4 linked regions of the Macaca mulatta genome follow. The protein of the gene in region 2 interacts with the protein of the main gene of each other region in a biochemical or structural test. Links are inferred from orthologs where the notes say so. Each region holds a gene or a part of one and is shown on either strand. Other genes may lie near its edges. The genes, in order: RNF40, H2BC21, KAT2A and RNF20.

Region 1 (4,319 bases), on a different chromosome or scaffold from region 2:
GTCTTTATCTCCACTGCACAGAGGAGGAAACCAGCTCAGAGAGGGGAGCCACTTTCCCAGCACGTCCAGGTGAGGGTGGCAGAACTGAAGTGGGAGAAGCCTGTCAACCTACAAGGCCTGAGCCCTTGAAGCTATGCCTTGTGGATCTGCAACCCACACAAAGTGCTCCAGAGGGGCCTCTGGACAGGAGGCTCTACTAGCATCAACAGCTCCTCCAACCCATCTCTCTAGCATTCAGTCCAGGAATCAAAGTTGGAACCCCCATCTACAGACTAACCTACCCCTCCCAAGAACGTGGCTGATATATTCCTTGGGGAATTCTGGCCGCCCTTGGACTTGGGCATTAGGGGAATTGGAAAGGGGTGCCATCAAGATGCAGGTAGGAGGCCGGGCGCGGTGGCTCAAGCCTGTAATCCCAGCACTTTGGGAGGCCGAGGCGGGCGGATCACAAGGTCAGGAGATCGAGACCACAGTGAAACCCCGTCTCTACTAAAAATACAAAAAATTAGCCGGGCGCGGTGGCGGGCGCTTGTAGTCCCAGCTACTCAGGAGGCTGAGGCAGGAGAATGGCGGGAACCCGGGAGGCGGAGCTTGCAGTGAGCCGAGATCGCGCCACTGCACTCCAGCCTGGGCAACAGCGTGAGACTCCGTCTCAAAAAAAAAAAAAAAAAAAAAAAAAAAAAAGATGCAGGTAGGGATGGACACCTCTTGGGTATGGGCACAAAGAACCCACCTCGGCTATACACTCGCTGACAGAGTTCCTCCACCCGGCGCTGTAGGCGGTCTGAGGCCTCTACCACATGAGACACAGCTGCCTTAGAGAACTCCATTCGGCCTTGCAGCTCCAGCTCCACCTCCTCACTGCTGCTGGCACCCAGTGCCACCACAAAAGCCAAGGCCGGCTCACTGAGAGGGGGCCGCAGCTGCAATGGCAAGGGCTCTGGAAGGAATGGACAGACCCTCATGAGGATAATAGCAGCAGTTACCACCACTCTGTACTAAGTTCCAGACTGAGCCCTTCAATATTCATGGCTCACTTAATCAACACAACCTATAGTGCACTATTATCTCCATCCTGAAAGTGAGACAAATGAGGTTCAGGGAGGTAAAGTAATTTCCTCAAAGCTACAGAGTTGCGTATCACATCCTCAGGGATGCCTCCTGTACTTTCCCAATAAAAATTAGAATCTCACACACACACACGTGTGCACACACAATTATTCCCTTTCAAGAGCCCCAGTACTTTCTGCTTACTATGTTTGTAATTTCCTCCCTCATAGCAAATGCAATGAGCAAGTACCCATTTCTAGAAAGCGTCAAATACATAGTTAACACTCAACCGTAATACTGTTTTCAAACAAATGGGTGTCGAAACATGAATTGCTCTATAAACCAAGTTAGTCAGAGTCCAAAGCCTGTATTTTTGTGCACTGCACTTTACCACCCAAACATGAAATCCATTTCGTGGGGAGTAGTAAGGCAGGCAATTCAGAGGCCCAACACCAAAGTCCCCTCCTCCCCAGGACTTTTCCCAGAACTGAAGCTCCCTAGATCCCAGAACTCTGGTCTCACCCCTCAGCTCTGATGTCCCCGGCTCTGGGAGAGGAGTCCCATCACATGTGGGCCCCTCCTGGGTCCCAGGTGCTTCAGGCGCTGAAGACAGCTCCCCCTGGCCCTCATGGCATCGGAGAAGGGCTTCCACAGTTTCATCCAGCTGGAAGGAGAAAGCATCAAAAATGTTATGAATCCCTTAATGCTTTCCAACATTATACCCCTTTTCCAGCAGGGGAATCTGGGGATTGGCAGCTGAATCAAGGCCTGGTCTTGGAAAGCAGAAGGCATCCACCTGGGCCCAGTAGCGATTGACGATGAGGAGTGTGGCATCATCTGTGGCCTGCCGCTTCTCCAACTTCTCAATTCGTTCTCGGAGTTCATCTTCACAAGCCTGCCGTTGTTCCAGCCGCTCTGCCAGTTTTTTGTTCTTGAACTGTAGTACCTTCAGGTCCATCTCCTCCTACCAAAGGAAACAAAGGGGCCGACGAGAATATCAAGCAGAGCCCAGAAACCAATCACACAGAAAGAGAGGAGCAGAGCATCTGGAATGCATGGGAGATGGGGGTATTCCCACACTAACCGCTAACAGAATCTAAGGAGGCTCACACAACCCACAGCGAAAGTGTCTTGGTTGTGAGGAGGCTCACGTTGTTTCTGCCTGTCCCCTTCTAACTCCTTAGTCTTTGACAAGTCACACGCCCCCTGGGAACCTGTTTTCCTATCTGTAAAGGGAAGACAGGCGTCGTGTTCTCGGCTTCTTTCAACAGAGTATCCTGTAACGCGGACCTTGCTAAACTTGGGGAAGTGGGTGTAAGATTCTGGACAATTTGGCCAGGGAACAGAGGGAGGGCTCTGGGAAATTCTGAGGGTTAAGGCAAGAGCCCAAGAACCGTGGAAGAGATGCCTCCAAGACGAATGGGCTCGATAAGAGTGGTGGTGGTCTTCTCCTCACGACTCAGCTTCTTCTCCGGGGGCCCTGAGCCCCCGTCGCCGGCGGCGCGTTTGTTGCCTAGCCCAGACATGGCCGCGGCGGCTGGAGCGGCGCAGGGTCCCCTGAGGGGCGTCAGACGGGAGGAGGCGGTACTTCCGTCACCTGCAGAAGACAGAGAGCAGAGATGTGGGAACGGCTGGTGTTCCACAGCCCCAAACACCCTCCACCCCGCACACACCTGCTGGATCCCGTCCCCGCCGGCGCCAGAGCCCTCACCAGCAACAGGGTCAGCCTAGCGCCGCCATCTTGGATTTCACCGGACGTCACTGGACGTTACTGGCCCCCCCCAACGGTGCGCAGGGCGCAGGCGCCGGAGGCAGCCCCGGATGTGAGGAAACTTCATTATCTTCTGCTTCTATTGGTTACGTTTGGTCCCGCCTCTCGGGTCCTCTGGCTTCTTCCCAAACACCTTCTCTTTCTCTCGGTGATTGGCCAAGAGGCAGTTCCCATAGTAACTGACACCAAGCTCCCACTTCCCGGCCTTGAGGACAGCGCCGGCCCTCGTATTAACAACTTGGAAGAGAGGGTGCTCAGGTGGGCACTCGCAACTTCTTACGTATCTGCGCGTTCTCTTCGCACCCACTGGCGTGAGCTTGCGTTTCCCGCCTTCATTCCTTCACAAGCCCCCTTGGCAACCGTCACCGTTGAGACGGAGGGAGACGCCCCCACGGATTCGCTCCGCCGCGCCTCTCGGCGCGCAGATTGGCCGGAGCAAGACTAGCGGGCCCGGCCTTGGTAGCCGCAGACCGAGCGCTGGCTGTCCTGGAACCGAGGCGGCGGGAGCCCGGGGCGCGCCGCGGCACGGAAGAGCGGCGAGATGCTCAACCGCAAGACCAGCCACTTTTTGGGAATGAGGGTGCAGTCGGAACTTGAACATTTCTCCGAGCTGCGGCGGGAAGCGGGGAAGGATCGCATCTCAGTGCGTGGGTCGGCCGCGCGGACGCGAGCGAGTGTGCGGACCCAGTCGACGGCGGCGGCGGCGGCGAAAGCGGATGAAGACCCCGGAGCCAACTTGTTCCCGGTGAGGGCGGGACAGTCTGGTCCGCTCGTGAATATTTATAAACGGGCTCCCCCGCAGGCACCAATCGTCATTATGCTTACTAACGTTCGGGACGTCTCCCGCGCTGCCTGGGCGAGGAGAGGCAGGGGTGTGTGACCCTGGTGGTTATTGTGCTCACATAGAGCACCTAGGGCCTCCTGAAGCCCGCCCTCGCCCGCGCCTCTCCTTCTTAGTCGTTGAGATGAGATGGCAAGTTACAGCGAGTTCTGGGGCCCGCTGCAGATTCGCGACGGCCAGGACACCACAGCTGCCTTCCCCAATTCGCTTTCTTTCCGCAGCCGCCGCTGCCCCGACCCCGGATCTGCATGTGGTGAGTGTGAAGAGACTTGGGGAAGAGTTACACTGAATATTTGCGTTCTTTCTTTATTGCCTCCCCAACAGTCCTGTCTGTGGCCAGGGCATCCCCATTTTTACAGATGAGGAGACTGAGGCCCAGAGATGCAATTACTCCAGGTGACTGGAAGCCAGCTTTCCAGCATCCCCAATCCAAAGAGGAGACAGTGTGAGAAAAAAAGAGCCAAAGACAGGATGTAAAGGGAGTCTCATGACTGCTATGGAGTATTGTACAGAGGGGGACACTGAGGGCCACAGGGGGGATTTGACCAAGGTCATACAAGGTAGTGGCAGAGCAGAAAAAAAGAATTCAAGTTTCCTAACCCTAGGCTTTAGAAATTGAGAGGCTCATAAGAGTTCATTTAGGCCCAGAGAGCTAAC
Region 2 (4,275 bases):
GTTTTCAGAATGACCCTGTTTCTCAAGTCCCTTAACTGCTAACCTAGGAGCTTATCCTCTGGAGAGTTTCTGAAGAAAGGCTTCTCTTTGCCTCAGTTTCCTTATCTGTAAAATGGGTGATAATAATGGTACTACTTCCTGAGGTCCTGGTGAGAATTAGATGAGTCAATATGTATAAAGGGCCTAGAACACTACCTGGCACACAGTAAGTGCTCCGTAGGTGTTAGCTTAACTTCATTATGAACTTTAGTTCTTCCATCTTATTTGTACTGCTTTCTATTTGTGATCATATATTTTTCAATTACTAAGCATTAACAGTGGCCTTGTAAGAGACTATTTCAGCCCTAGTGCACCTTTGGGGCAGCAGTTTGGCTGGTGGCTTATAAATAGTCATCCCCCAGATCAGAGGCACCCATGCTTTTCTATAGACCCTGTGTAAGTTGTATCTGTTAATTTCCTTCATTGAGAAATATATACTGTAGATAAAAGAATCCAGCAAAGCCTTCAATTGGTAACTTTATTAATAACAATAGCATCTACACACATTTGAAAACACACATGTAGGAGACAGTTAAGATTTATTCAGTCTGTGATAATGTCTAGAGCTCATTTGGATTCATCAGACCCCTGCTATCAACTCCAAAAACCCTTAGCCAAAAACAGAGTTGAATCACTCATCAAACCATCAGTGTCTTCCTCGGCAGAATCAAGGGTTGGACAGAAAGAGTAAATATTCTGTACCTCCACAAAATAAAACTAAAATGCAATTGTCCTGCATCTGAGAATACAAGGGTGGACAGTATGAGCTGCATGACTGTGAACCAATGAGGCTTCTCTTGGCCTCATTTGTAAAAAGGAGATTAACCCTGTAGTCCTGCCTATCTTGCATGGCCTCCTGGAAAGCAAATGAGGTGATGACTGTCAATTAAAAGCTCCTCTCCTTTAAGAGGGGAACACCAAGAGGGGAGAGTAAGAAAAGAAGGAAAAGGCTCTTTCCAGTGACCAATACGCTGAATTTGATGAAAATCCAAAAGAGGTTATGCTAAACTGGGAAGCGTAAGGGTGGATCTACCATTGCCACCTCCTCTTTGATGCAAAAAAAATCTTAACACGGCCCCCTCCCAGCTGTTGCACTGAGGTGACTAAGGACACATTTGAGGAAGTAGCTCCAAAAACATTTCCATTTTCACCGTGCCTTCACATACATCTAACGGAAATGAACAGCACCCATCATCCATCCACGAAAGCGATTAAGAAAACGATGGGATGGAAAAACTAACCCAACAATATTACATCAATACGTAGTATTTAGGTAAGTGTCCATAATGTGCCAGGCTGAAGATGCACGGGAAAACCACACCAGCCGGTCAAGGGCTTGAGAATACCATAAACAAGAAAACAGACGAACCAATTTCAGACAGCTGCTAGAAGGAAGATAAAATGAGACAGGCAAGTATGAGCGGCGCGAATTCCTTAGTGGATGACGTAGATCTCTGACAGGTGACTTTTGAGCCCGTATCTACACGGTAAGTGCCTCGCAGTGACCTGGGGCCGCAGCCTTACCCTTTAAAGCAGAGACCATTAAATGCAAAAATTATCAACAAAACGAGAAATAGGAATTTCAAAGTCTCAAAGTGAACGACGGAAACTGAAATCTACAAATTAGAAAGAGGCGCAGAATTTTGAATATTCATGTCGCCCAATCAGGAAAAGGCTGGGACCCGGCTGCGCGGGCTTCGTCCAAAATACACAGAACGGCTGGTATCCACAGGAGACCCCATCGCACAGCAGAACTGGTGACCGGACACAAAAGGTGCTGCCAAGCGTCAGTCATACACAGCTGTCACGCAGTGTTTGCGGAACCTGGGCTGAATCGTGCCCTGGAGTTCTCTTAAATAACAGCCGAACTCAGCCACTTCGTTTTAGAATGAAACAGACCCAAGAAGCCACCAGGGCGCCAGTATGGGGCGGGAGTGGGGGCGGGTAAAGAGGCGGATTCCCAACATCCTAATTGAGAACCGACTCCTGGGAATGCTAAGCAGCACAATGAGTGAAGACACGCTCTAGATTCAAAAGCAAATCCAATCATGCACCGGGGACCTCAAGTTCCAAATGGTTAAAAACCTACGTGTGGCATTTCCCATGACCTTTACGCTAAAATTACTTTATGAGAAGAAACTAAGGGAGTAAGTGAACAAGCTCTTTTCTAGTGATTAGGTGGGTGGCTCTGAAAAGAGCCTTTGGAGTCAAGCAGCCGGCGACTCGAGCGAGCGAGCGCCAGGTCCCGGCAGGGACTCACTTGGAGCTGGTGTACTTGGTGACTGCCTTGGTGCCCTCGGACACGGCGTGCTTGGCCAGCTCGCCGGGCAGCAGCAGGCGCACGGCCGTCTGGATCTCGCGGGACGTGATGGTGGAGCGCTTGTTGTAGTGCGCCAGGCGGGACGCCTCTCCCGCGATGCGCTCGAAAATGTCGTTGACGAAGGAGTTCATGATGCCCATGGCCTTGGACGAGATGCCGGTGTCGGGGTGGACCTGCTTCAGCACCTTGTACACGTAGATGGAGTAGCTCTCCTTGCGGCTGCGCTTGCGCTTCTTGCCGTCTTTCTTCTGGGCTTTGGTGACGGCTTTCTTGGAGCCCTTTTTAGGAGCCGGAGCGGATTTTGCCGGTTCAGGCATGGTAAGACACAGTACAAACGCGGCTTAGCCAAGAAAAGAAGTAAGAGAATGGGCGGGCCTGATTCTTTTATAACCACCTTATGCAAATTAGGGCTCCGAAAGTCATTCATTTCCATTGGTCCGTGTGCGGACCTTGCGTTTTCAGCAATGCGTACGCAACAACACCGACTCTTGACTTGATTGGCCGGTTCTGAAGCCATATTAGGACCAATGAAAAACTCGTTCTAGACCCCACCCCTAGGAAAGCTTATAAAGGCTTTCCTCTTGGTTCTCTTTCAAGCTTATTTTGTAGCGAGGTTCTGAGCATTGTCTGTGTTTAACCTTGGTTTCAGTCATGTCTGGTCGTGGCAAACAAGGAGGCAAGGCTCGCGCCAAGGCCAAGTCGCGCTCGTCCCGCGCTGGCCTCCAGTTCCCGGTAGGGCGAGTGCACCGCTTGCTGCGCAAAGGCAACTACGCGGAGCGGGTGGGGGCTGGCGCGCCAGTCTACATGGCGGCGGTCCTCGAGTACCTGACCGCCGAGATCCTGGAGCTGGCGGGCAACGCAGCTCGGGACAACAAGAAGACGCGCATCATCCCTCGTCACCTCCAGCTGGCCATCCGCAACGACGAGGAACTGAACAAGCTGCTGGGCAAAGTCACCATCGCCCAGGGCGGCGTTTTGCCTAACATCCAGGCCGTTCTGTTACCAAAGAAAACTGAAAGCCACAAAGCCAAAAGCAAATAAATGCAGACAAACAAACCAAAGACCAAAGGCTCTTTTTAGAGCCACCCAAGTTTTCAAAAAAAGAGCTAATGCGCTATTTCGTGATCAGCCCTTCATTTGACACTTTGGTGGCTCTTAAAAGAGCCTTTGGGGTGAATGAGTATGGTGTCAAGCCTCTTAATTACTTGTTCTTGCCAGGCTTGTGACTCTCCGTTTTCTTGGGCAACAGGACAGCCTGGATATTGGGTAAGACGCCGCCCTGGGCAATGGTGACACCCCCGAGTAACTTGTTGAGCTCTTCGTCATTCCTCACGGCTAGTTGCAGATGGCGAGGGATGATGCGCGTCTTCTTGTTGTCCCGAGCCGCGTTGCCTGCTAGCTCCAGAATTTCCGCGGTCAGGTACTCGAGGACCGCCGCCAGGTACACCGGGGCGCCTGCCCCCACCCGTTCCGCGTAGTTGCCCTTGCGCAGCAAGCGGTGCACTCGCCCCACCGGGAACTGGAGGCCAGCGCGGGACGAGCGCGACTTGGCCTTAGCGCGGGCCTTGCCTCCCTGCTTTCCGCGTCCTGACATTACGGCTAAAATTGCAGTTACAGCTTCTTTTACAAGGAGAAGAATGTGGAAAGAATAACCAATTTGATGTAATTTATAAGAGCTACCGGGAGGGGTGAAGGGAAGTCGTTTGATTGGCTAAAAGCGGAGCCGTATCCAACAGCCAATAGAAAAACAGAAAGCCGCCTCTTGGTTTGCATCCTGCCCTGAAAGGAAATGACGGATTTCGTAAGTATCTACCAATCGCTGAGAGCCACATTAAAGCCCCTTATTTGCATGGCAGGATCTTTAAAGAAAGTAGGCTTTCAAACAAAATGTCTTGTACTATGGGGTTTTGCTTTGC
Region 3 (4,065 bases), on a different chromosome or scaffold from region 2:
CCTTCGTTAATGGGCCCCGAGGAGGCCGCAGCTGTGAAGGAACTGGATCCTCGACCAGGCCAGACCCGAGGGAGCCGGACCGCGGTGCAGCCAACAGCAGATTGATCCCCCAGCTGGAAGGGGGCTGTCTTGCCTTCTAAGGACCAGGCCTGGGGCAAGGATTGTTCCCAGAGAGAGTCAGGGGAGGGCGGCCTTTCTGGGTCATCCACCCTACCTCTCCCTGACCACCCACAACCCCACGCGGACACGCGAGACGAGGAGGCGGACTGGTCTCTCCGGCTGCATTAATTCATCCGCCCCCCGGGGTCTCCTGTGATGCAGGCTGTGGTCTGGGTTCGGGCCACAAAGATGAAGATGCAGTCGGGGCTTTAGGAGAGCGGCTCCCAGTGCGCAGAGAAAGGCTTAGCCGTCCCCTGCCTCACCCTCCACAGTAGCCTTCTTGGTGACCATCGTAACCACAGCTATGCCTCTGGTGCTGTTAATTGATTTTTTTTTTTTTTTTTTTTTTTTTTTAAGAGTCAGGGTCTTATTATGTTGCCCAGGTTAATCTCGAACTCCTGGGCTCAAGCGATCCTCCCATCTCGACCTCCCAAAGTGCTAGGATTACAGGCGTGAGCCACCTCGTCCGGTCTATAAACTTTATTTTTTATTTTTTTGTAGAGATGGGGTCTCCCTATGTTGCCCAGCCTGGTCTCGAACTCCTAGGCTCAGGCGATTCTCCTGCGTGAGCCAGCCACCCGGCCTGATAAACTCCCTTTTGTTGAGTGATGCTATTAAATACATACAGAAAAGCGCACGAAAAGGTGCAGGTGAATGTCAGGAGGAGAACACACCCAAGTCACCACCACACTGCTGCAGAACTGTTGTTACGTCTCATCTTTACCGCAGCTGCAATTCCATGTCCGGAGCCGCGTGGGGCAGGGCCTGTGCGCGAGTTGGGGGAGGGGGTTAAGTGGGAGAGAGGCGCAGGAAAGAGGCAGACCCCACGATTGTCCCCAAGACTCCTTGTCCCCAAGAGGACAGCCATCGTGACTCTCCCGGACACCATTAAAAGAGATTACAAGTCAAGAGGGGTCAATGTGGGGCCTTCGCTCAGGCCTCACTTGGCTGTCAGGGGCCAAGAGACCAGACAGAAAAGTCTGGAAGCTGGAGGCAGTGGGGGAAGGCGCTGGAAGACTACAACTCCCGTCACGCGCCGCGCAGCGACGCCTGCGCACTGAACGCCGGTTGCCCATGCGGCCCTAGGGCTGGGAGCGCGGCGCCGCTCTCCGCTGCGGGGGAGGCCATGGCGGAACCTTCCCAGGCCCCGACCCCGGCCCCAGCTGCGCAGCCCCGGCCCCTTCAGTCCCCAGCCCCTGCCCCAACTCCGACTCCTGCACCCAGCCCGGCTTCAGCCCCGACTCCGACTCCCACCCCGGCACCAGCCCCTGCCCCAGCTGCAGCCCCAGCCGGCAGCACAGGGACTGGGGGGCCCGGGGTAGGAAGTGGGGGGGCCGGGAGCGGGGGGGATCCGGCTCGACCTGGCCTGAGCCAGCAGCAGCGCGCTAGCCAGAGGAAGGCGCAAGTCCGGGGGCTGCCGCGCGCCAAGAAGCTTGAGAAGCTAGGGGTCTTCTCGGCTTGCAAGGTGGGGGCGGGGCCTGGGGTGAAGGGGCGGGGCTTGGGGCATCCCTGGGCTCGGGTGGGAGTGGGGTAAAAGCTCAGGCTGCGGAGCGGCTCTTGCCCCAGAGGTATAGATCATTGACTGATCCTTCCGCCTCCAGGCCAATGAAACCTGTAAGTGTAATGGCTGGAAAAACCCCAAGCCCCCCACTGCACCCCGCATGGATCTGCAGCAGCCAGCTGCCAACCTGAGTGAGCTGTGCCGCAGTTGTGAGCATCCCTTGGGTAAGGCAGGCAGCGCCCTTGGAGCTGGGGGCAGCTGCTTGGACAGGGTGACAAGTGCCACAAAGCCTCATCTCTGAAAAATCAAAGATGCCTCGAAGGAGGGATTGGGTTGGGGGGTGTGTATGCACCAAGGGAGGGGAAAGGAAATCTCTCAGCCCAGAACAGGCCCAGGCAACCCAATGGCTGTTATCGCAGCAGTCAGTCTCACTATTGGTCACACTGGTTGGAGGGACGGAGTGTGCATCTTGGTTGGCTGTGAAGAGGGTCAAGAAGCCTTGTTGATTTCTTCTATCAATTTTTCCCAACTCTGTCATCTGTCTTGCAGCTGACCACGTATCTCACTTGGAGAATGTGTCAGAGGATGAAATAAACCGGCTGCTGGGGATGGTGGTGGATGTGGAGAATCTCTTCATGTCTGTTCACAAGGAGGAGGACACAGACACCAAGCAGGTCTATTTCTACCTCTTCAAGGTGAGCTTCTACTGAAGGAGGGTGTGAATGAAGGAGGTGGGGCCTTGAGGGGTTGTCTGCAGCTCTGCCCCGCTCCCCTCTATGCCCCTTCCTCTTCTCTCTAGCTCCTGCGGAAGTGCATCCTGCAGATGACCCGGCCCGTGGTGGAGGGGTCCCTGGGCAGCCCTCCGTTTGAGAAACCTAATATTGAGCAGGTGGGATAGGGAAATTGGAGATAGCGGAGAGGAGAATTGGGGACAGCTTGGAGGAGTGGGGAGCCTGTGTTCTCCATCCTCCTCAAGCTGAGAACCGTGGGGAGGTTCAGAGAAGGGAGGGTGTTTTGTGCTAACCTCAGGGTGGGCATGGTGGTAGGGAGGGGGCAGAGCTTTTCTATAGAAAGCACCCGAGAGAGAGAGGAGAACCTTGTCCCTGGCCTCAGGGAGCCTCTTCCTTTGTCTAAGAAGGCCCTGCAGGCTGCTCACATCTCATTCCTGGTTTTATTCCCCACCCACCCCTTCTCAGGGTGTGCTGAACTTTGTGCAGTACAAGTTTAGTCACCTGGCTCCCCGGGAGCGGCAGACGATGTTCGAGCTCTCAAAGATGTTCTTGCTCTGCCTTAACTACTGGAAGCTTGAGACACCTGCCCAGTTTCGGCAGAGGTCTCAGGCTGAAGATGTGGCTACCTACAAGGTCAATTACACCAGGTAGGCCCAGCCAGGGGCAGCTTCGGGGGAGGCTGGCAGGCCCAGCCTGGGTTCAGTGGTTTCCGCCCTCACCTGTCTCCCCCTCAACTCCCTACTCCAGATGGCTCTGTTACTGCCACGTGCCCCAGAGCTGTGATAGTCTCCCCCGCTACGAAACCACTCATGTCTTTGGGCGAAGCCTTCTCCGGTCCATTTTCACCGTTACCCGCCGGCAGCTGCTGGAAAAGTTCCGAGTGGAGAAGGACAAATTGGTGCCTGAGAAGAGGACCCTCATCCTCACTCACTTCCCCAAGTAAGGCTCCTTCTGGCCTATCAGGATTTGGCCCCAAGTTCACATCCTCCCTGTTGTCCCCTTTTTTCCAGGAAGGCTTCCTGGATTGGTCCCTCCTCTCCCTCCATGGGCCTTCTGGGATCTGGGCGTCTACCTGGCAGACTTGCCCATGGCCCAGAAGCAACTTGCTAGTACTAGTCTGGGGATGGCAGGTACATAGCCCAAGCTAACGCTGCCCCCACCCCACCCTACGCCCCGGTAGATGTTACTAATTGTTTCCCATGGGGGCCTGGACACAGCCTCAGACTCCTTCCCTGCACAGCTCTCCAAGAAATCAGAGCTTATGCTTGAAGTGAAACCAATTTCTACTCCTGTTCTGGTCTTTTCTGTACAATTTTCTTCTGTTCGGCCACACCTTTTAAAATCTGGGTCATAACTCCCCTGTTCAAAAAACCCTCACTGACGAATCCTGGCTCTCTAGTGCCCTCCGCCATCAGGTGGGAACAAGAGATGGCAAGGTGGGGTGGAGTCTGAGCCCATTTTGATACTGAGGGCAGTGAGGGGATTCAGGGTGACAAGGTGCCCTCCCTGGCCACACAGCACAGGATGACATCAGCTCAGACCTGTCTCCCTGTGCTACACAGCATGGTGAAACTGAGCTTCTTTGATCTCTGTCCTGGATGTGTCCTGTTGTCTTACCTTCAATTGGAGGCTCCCAGAAGACAGGGGCTGTCCCCTCTTTCAGGTCCCCAGTTC
Region 4 (3,559 bases), on a different chromosome or scaffold from region 2:
TAAATGGGATTGTTTTCTTAATTTCTTTTTTGTATAGTTTGTTGTTAGTATATAGACACACAATTGTTTTTGTATGTTGATTTTGTAGCCTGCAACTTTACTGAATTCATTTATAGTTCTAACAGTTTTTTCGTGGAGCCTGTAAGGTTTTCTATATATAAAGTCATGTCATCTATAAACAGAAACAACTTTACTTCTTCCTTTCTGATTAAGAGGCCTTTATTTCTTATCCTTGCCTAATTACCCTGGCTAGCACAAACGTAATGAGAGCGGGCATCTTTATCCTATTCCTGATCTCAAAGGAAAAGCTTTCAACTTTTCGCCATTGGGTATAATGTTGGCTGTGGGCTTGTTTTATATGGTCTTTATTATGCTGAGGTACACTTCTTCTACACCTAATTTGTTTAGAGTTTTATCATAAAAGGATGTTGGATTTTGTCTACATTTTTCTTATCCCTCATAAATACGCAGATTCACAACTATGTATATACATGAGTTGATCAGCAAAACATCTGATTTGACTGCCCTTCAGGCATGCGTTCCTACCTTCAGCTTTTCATTTTGTGTAGTGACCTCCTCAAAGTCTTGCCGAAGTTTCTCCAGCTCACAGAGACGGTTCTGAGCCAACTCTTTGTTCTCTTCAAGCTCTGCATTCATTTCCTCAAACTGGAGAGAAACAGAAAAATAGAGAATAAATAAGTATTCTTCTTAAATCATTTCTAAGCTTCCTATCTTCACTGATTCTCTCTTTCAGCAAAACCCCACGATGTCACGTGTGAATACAATCCTAAGTACCTAAGCACGAAGGCTGACATAAAGTCCAAAACATGTCCTAAGTCACTGATTTTACCTTCCGAGCATTGATAGTGATTGTGCCGCCATACAGACTGCTCCCTGCTCCATACACCTTATAACCTTTGGAATTTACCTACAGAGAAGACAAAGATTCTTTAGTGAGAGACTCTTAAGATTTTAGTCTATAACCAATGTACCTTCAAAGGATGAGTTTTTTTTCCTCAAGTACCATGTCCCAAGGTGAGTCTTCCCGCGAACACTCCTTAAAATGATTCTAGTCTCCAAGCCATAAAACAGCACTGACCCGTTCTAGGACTTCTGCTAAGTGTCGGTTGAGTCGCTGTTCCCTCTTTCGAATTTTGTCAATATCCCACTGCAGGTCGTCAATCATGGATTCCAGGACAGACACTCGTGATTCAGCTGTCTCCACTTTACTCTGCAACTTGGAGAACTACATCCCAAAGACAGACATTTAGAAATATATAGCAAAAAAAGACCAAGTTAGAAAAGGACTGCCTAACATATGTAGCTTAAGTTCCAAATTCCACAATATTAACCCTTGCTTATGTGGAATTATATAGAAAAGAGACAAATAGAAGATGCTTCACCCTCTTCCCAATGCATGATTATAAAAATGAAATCATGGATTCCTCCAACAATTCTGGGTCAGTCATAATCATGAAAACTTTAAGTCTGAAGCCTGTAAGAACTCCCAAAGAAAAGACCACCAAAGATTCAACAATTTTTCTACCTCTGAAAAGCACCATTTCCCTGGACAGACTACAAACTTATAAAAATTTTGCATTTTTTAAGAGATAAAAGATAGTCTCTTTCGTTTTGTTAGATAAATATTTTTTTCAAAAAAACCATTTTTACCCCCAAATTTCTCTCTCCACATTCCCACAAAAGGTAATCCATTCAGCAAAAGGAAAACTTCCATACACTTTTTCAAGCTCTCCCCAGAGCAATCTGGAGTCAGATACAATACGGTATACATTATACTATAATCTAGAGTCAGATACTCTAGGAGCTATACACCAGCTAGCACTATTTAGTATTTTAACTACTAAACTATTACATGTTCACATTAATCTATATATACCCTTTGTGCTAGCTTTTAAAGTATGACACAAAAATCCTTTGAAAGTCCTCCCAACAAGAGGTGGGATCTTTGTTCCCTCCTCTTGAATCTGGGTCAACTTTAGAGACCCAATGGAAATGGCACTACATAATTTTGAGGCTATATCAGAAAGGCTATGAAGGTTCTACCTGGTGATCTTGGGATGCTCACTGGAAGAAGGCAGCCAACATGTAAAAATTCCAACCATCCTGAGACTACCATGATGAAGAAGCAACCTGTAGGTATCCCAGTGGACAATTAACCCAGCTGACAGGCAGCATCAACAGCCAGCCATGAGAGTCAACATGGACATCACACAGTTTAGCAAACAACTGCCCTCCAGGTTAGTAATACAATCTGAGATTTGCCAAAGGCCTAGAAAAGGAAGACCTCTCCATCTTGGTAGCACCTAGTCAGTGTCTTAAAACATGACAAAAATATTCTATTTTCTTACTAGACTCCAGTTTATTTATAAGGGCTGCTATATTCTAACCCCTTTGAAGGTCCAGGATAATCCATATGAATTAATAAATTCCCCAGATGATACTCATGCAACCAGCCCAGCCTAGACCTCAACACTGGAGTTTAGTAAACAAAGGCATATGAAGAACAAGAGCTTTGAAGTCAAACAGACCTATAGTCACAACACAGCTCAATCACTTTCTAGCTATGTGCCCTCAGAATAATCACTAACCTCTTTGAATTTATTTCTTCGGCAATAAAATGGGAGTTGTTTTGCCATTAGAGATAACAATCATAAAGTGCTTATATTCTAGGCACTGAGTAAGTGTAACTACTAAATTACTAATTAGCATGAGAATTCAGTGGCTAAACTAAGGTAGGGCAAATTCCAGTAGAATATATTTTGAACTAAATCAAAATGATAATCAGGAGTATCAGAAAAATCATTTAAGGCCTATCATCACTTTATCTTGATCATTTTGTGTAAACAAATAAATGTCCAAATCTTGGCGTGGTTTAACCATGGCATTATTTGTGCCCAAGTTTAGACTGAAAATTCACATTCCTCAAATTCCTAGGACATCATCAATACAGTAGGTTCTACTTCCCCATTCGCTGTTGAATTTCTACCACGCCATTCCTCAATAACATTATACAGTCTTTTATATTTAGGGTAATTCATTATTTGGAGGTGTGGAGTTGTGTTGTGTTTTGCAAAATCCCCTATGATAGGCCTTCTAGAGTAAGGTGATCTTTGAGGTGCTCAGAATTCTAAGTCAACGTCTGCCACAGCCCACTAGACACAGCCATCTCTCTTTTTTGGTTAAGTACCTCCTGAGACATGGTGCGATGCTTTTCCTGAAGAAGATCTGTCAATTCCTGTAGCCTCATATTCTCCTGTGCGAGGAAAGAGTTCAGCTCCTGCACTGCTTCCTCCACTATCAGATTATCTGGGGAAGAAGAACTATACTTTAGTTTAGCATCTACAGTGTCTTTTTTCTTATTTTTATTTTTTGAGATGGAGTCTCACTCTATCTCCCAGGCTGGAGTACAGTGGCGCAGTCTCGGCTCACTGCAACCTCTGCCTCCTGGGTTCAAGCCGATTCTCCTGCCTCAGCCTCCAGAGTGGCTGGGATTACAAGCCGGTGCCACCACACCTGGCTGATTTTTGTATTTTTAGTA

What was found.
Region 1: of the proteins of H2BC21 (region 2) and RNF40, one has a biochemical effect on the other in vitro, tested with the Homo sapiens proteins (2 studies listed by BioGRID). The link is inferred for Macaca mulatta from reciprocal best matches to the Homo sapiens genes H2BC21 and RNF40.
Region 3: of the proteins of H2BC21 (region 2) and KAT2A, one has a biochemical effect on the other in vitro, tested with the Homo sapiens proteins (2 studies listed by BioGRID). The link is inferred for Macaca mulatta from reciprocal best matches to the Homo sapiens genes H2BC21 and KAT2A.
Region 4: of the proteins of H2BC21 (region 2) and RNF20, one has a biochemical effect on the other in vitro, tested with the Homo sapiens proteins (3 studies listed by BioGRID). The link is inferred for Macaca mulatta from reciprocal best matches to the Homo sapiens genes H2BC21 and RNF20.

Annotation. Positions count from the first base shown.
Region 1 is NC_133425.1:29,385,397-29,389,715, reverse strand, and holds the start of RNF40 (E3 ubiquitin-protein ligase BRE1B), read right to left. Parts: upstream 2,834-4,319; 5' UTR 2,762-2,833; exon of another isoform or gene 2,724-2,761; intron 2,648-2,723; 5' UTR 2,577-2,647; coding exon 2,445-2,576; exon of another isoform or gene 2,135-2,444; intron 2,015-2,134; coding exon 1,847-2,014; intron 1,715-1,846; coding exon 1,573-1,714; intron 941-1,572; coding exon 734-940; intron 1-733. Other genes in the region: CFAP119 (cilia- and flagella-associated protein 119), read left to right, coding at 3,363-3,566, 3,884-3,915.
Region 2 is NC_133406.1:117,264,006-117,268,280, reverse strand, and holds H2BC21 (histone H2B type 2-E), read right to left. Parts: upstream 2,719-4,275; 5' UTR 2,677-2,718; coding exon 2,296-2,676; 3' UTR 501-2,295; downstream 1-500. Other genes in the region: H2AC20 (histone H2A type 2-C), read left to right, coding at 3,011-3,400; H2AC21 (histone H2A type 2-B), read right to left, coding at 3,561-3,953. UniProt on the Homo sapiens protein: Core component of nucleosome. Nucleosomes wrap and compact DNA into chromatin, limiting DNA accessibility to the cellular machineries which require DNA as a template.
Region 3 is NC_133421.1:66,457,523-66,461,587, reverse strand, and holds the start of KAT2A (histone acetyltransferase KAT2A), read left to right. Parts: upstream 1-1,222; 5' UTR 1,223-1,285; coding exon 1,286-1,624; intron 1,625-1,760; coding exon 1,761-1,884; intron 1,885-2,209; coding exon 2,210-2,355; intron 2,356-2,459; coding exon 2,460-2,549; intron 2,550-2,856; coding exon 2,857-3,038; intron 3,039-3,138; coding exon 3,139-3,330; intron 3,331-4,065. UniProt on the Homo sapiens protein: Protein lysine acyltransferase that can act as a acetyltransferase, glutaryltransferase, succinyltransferase or malonyltransferase, depending on the context.
Region 4 is NC_133420.1:56,828,924-56,832,482, forward strand, and holds part of RNF20 (E3 ubiquitin-protein ligase BRE1A), read right to left. Parts: intron 3,328-3,559; coding exon 3,209-3,327; intron 1,247-3,208; coding exon 1,100-1,246; intron 929-1,099; coding exon 851-928; intron 667-850; coding exon 547-666; intron 1-546. UniProt on the Homo sapiens protein: Component of the RNF20/40 E3 ubiquitin-protein ligase complex that mediates monoubiquitination of 'Lys-120' of histone H2B (H2BK120ub1).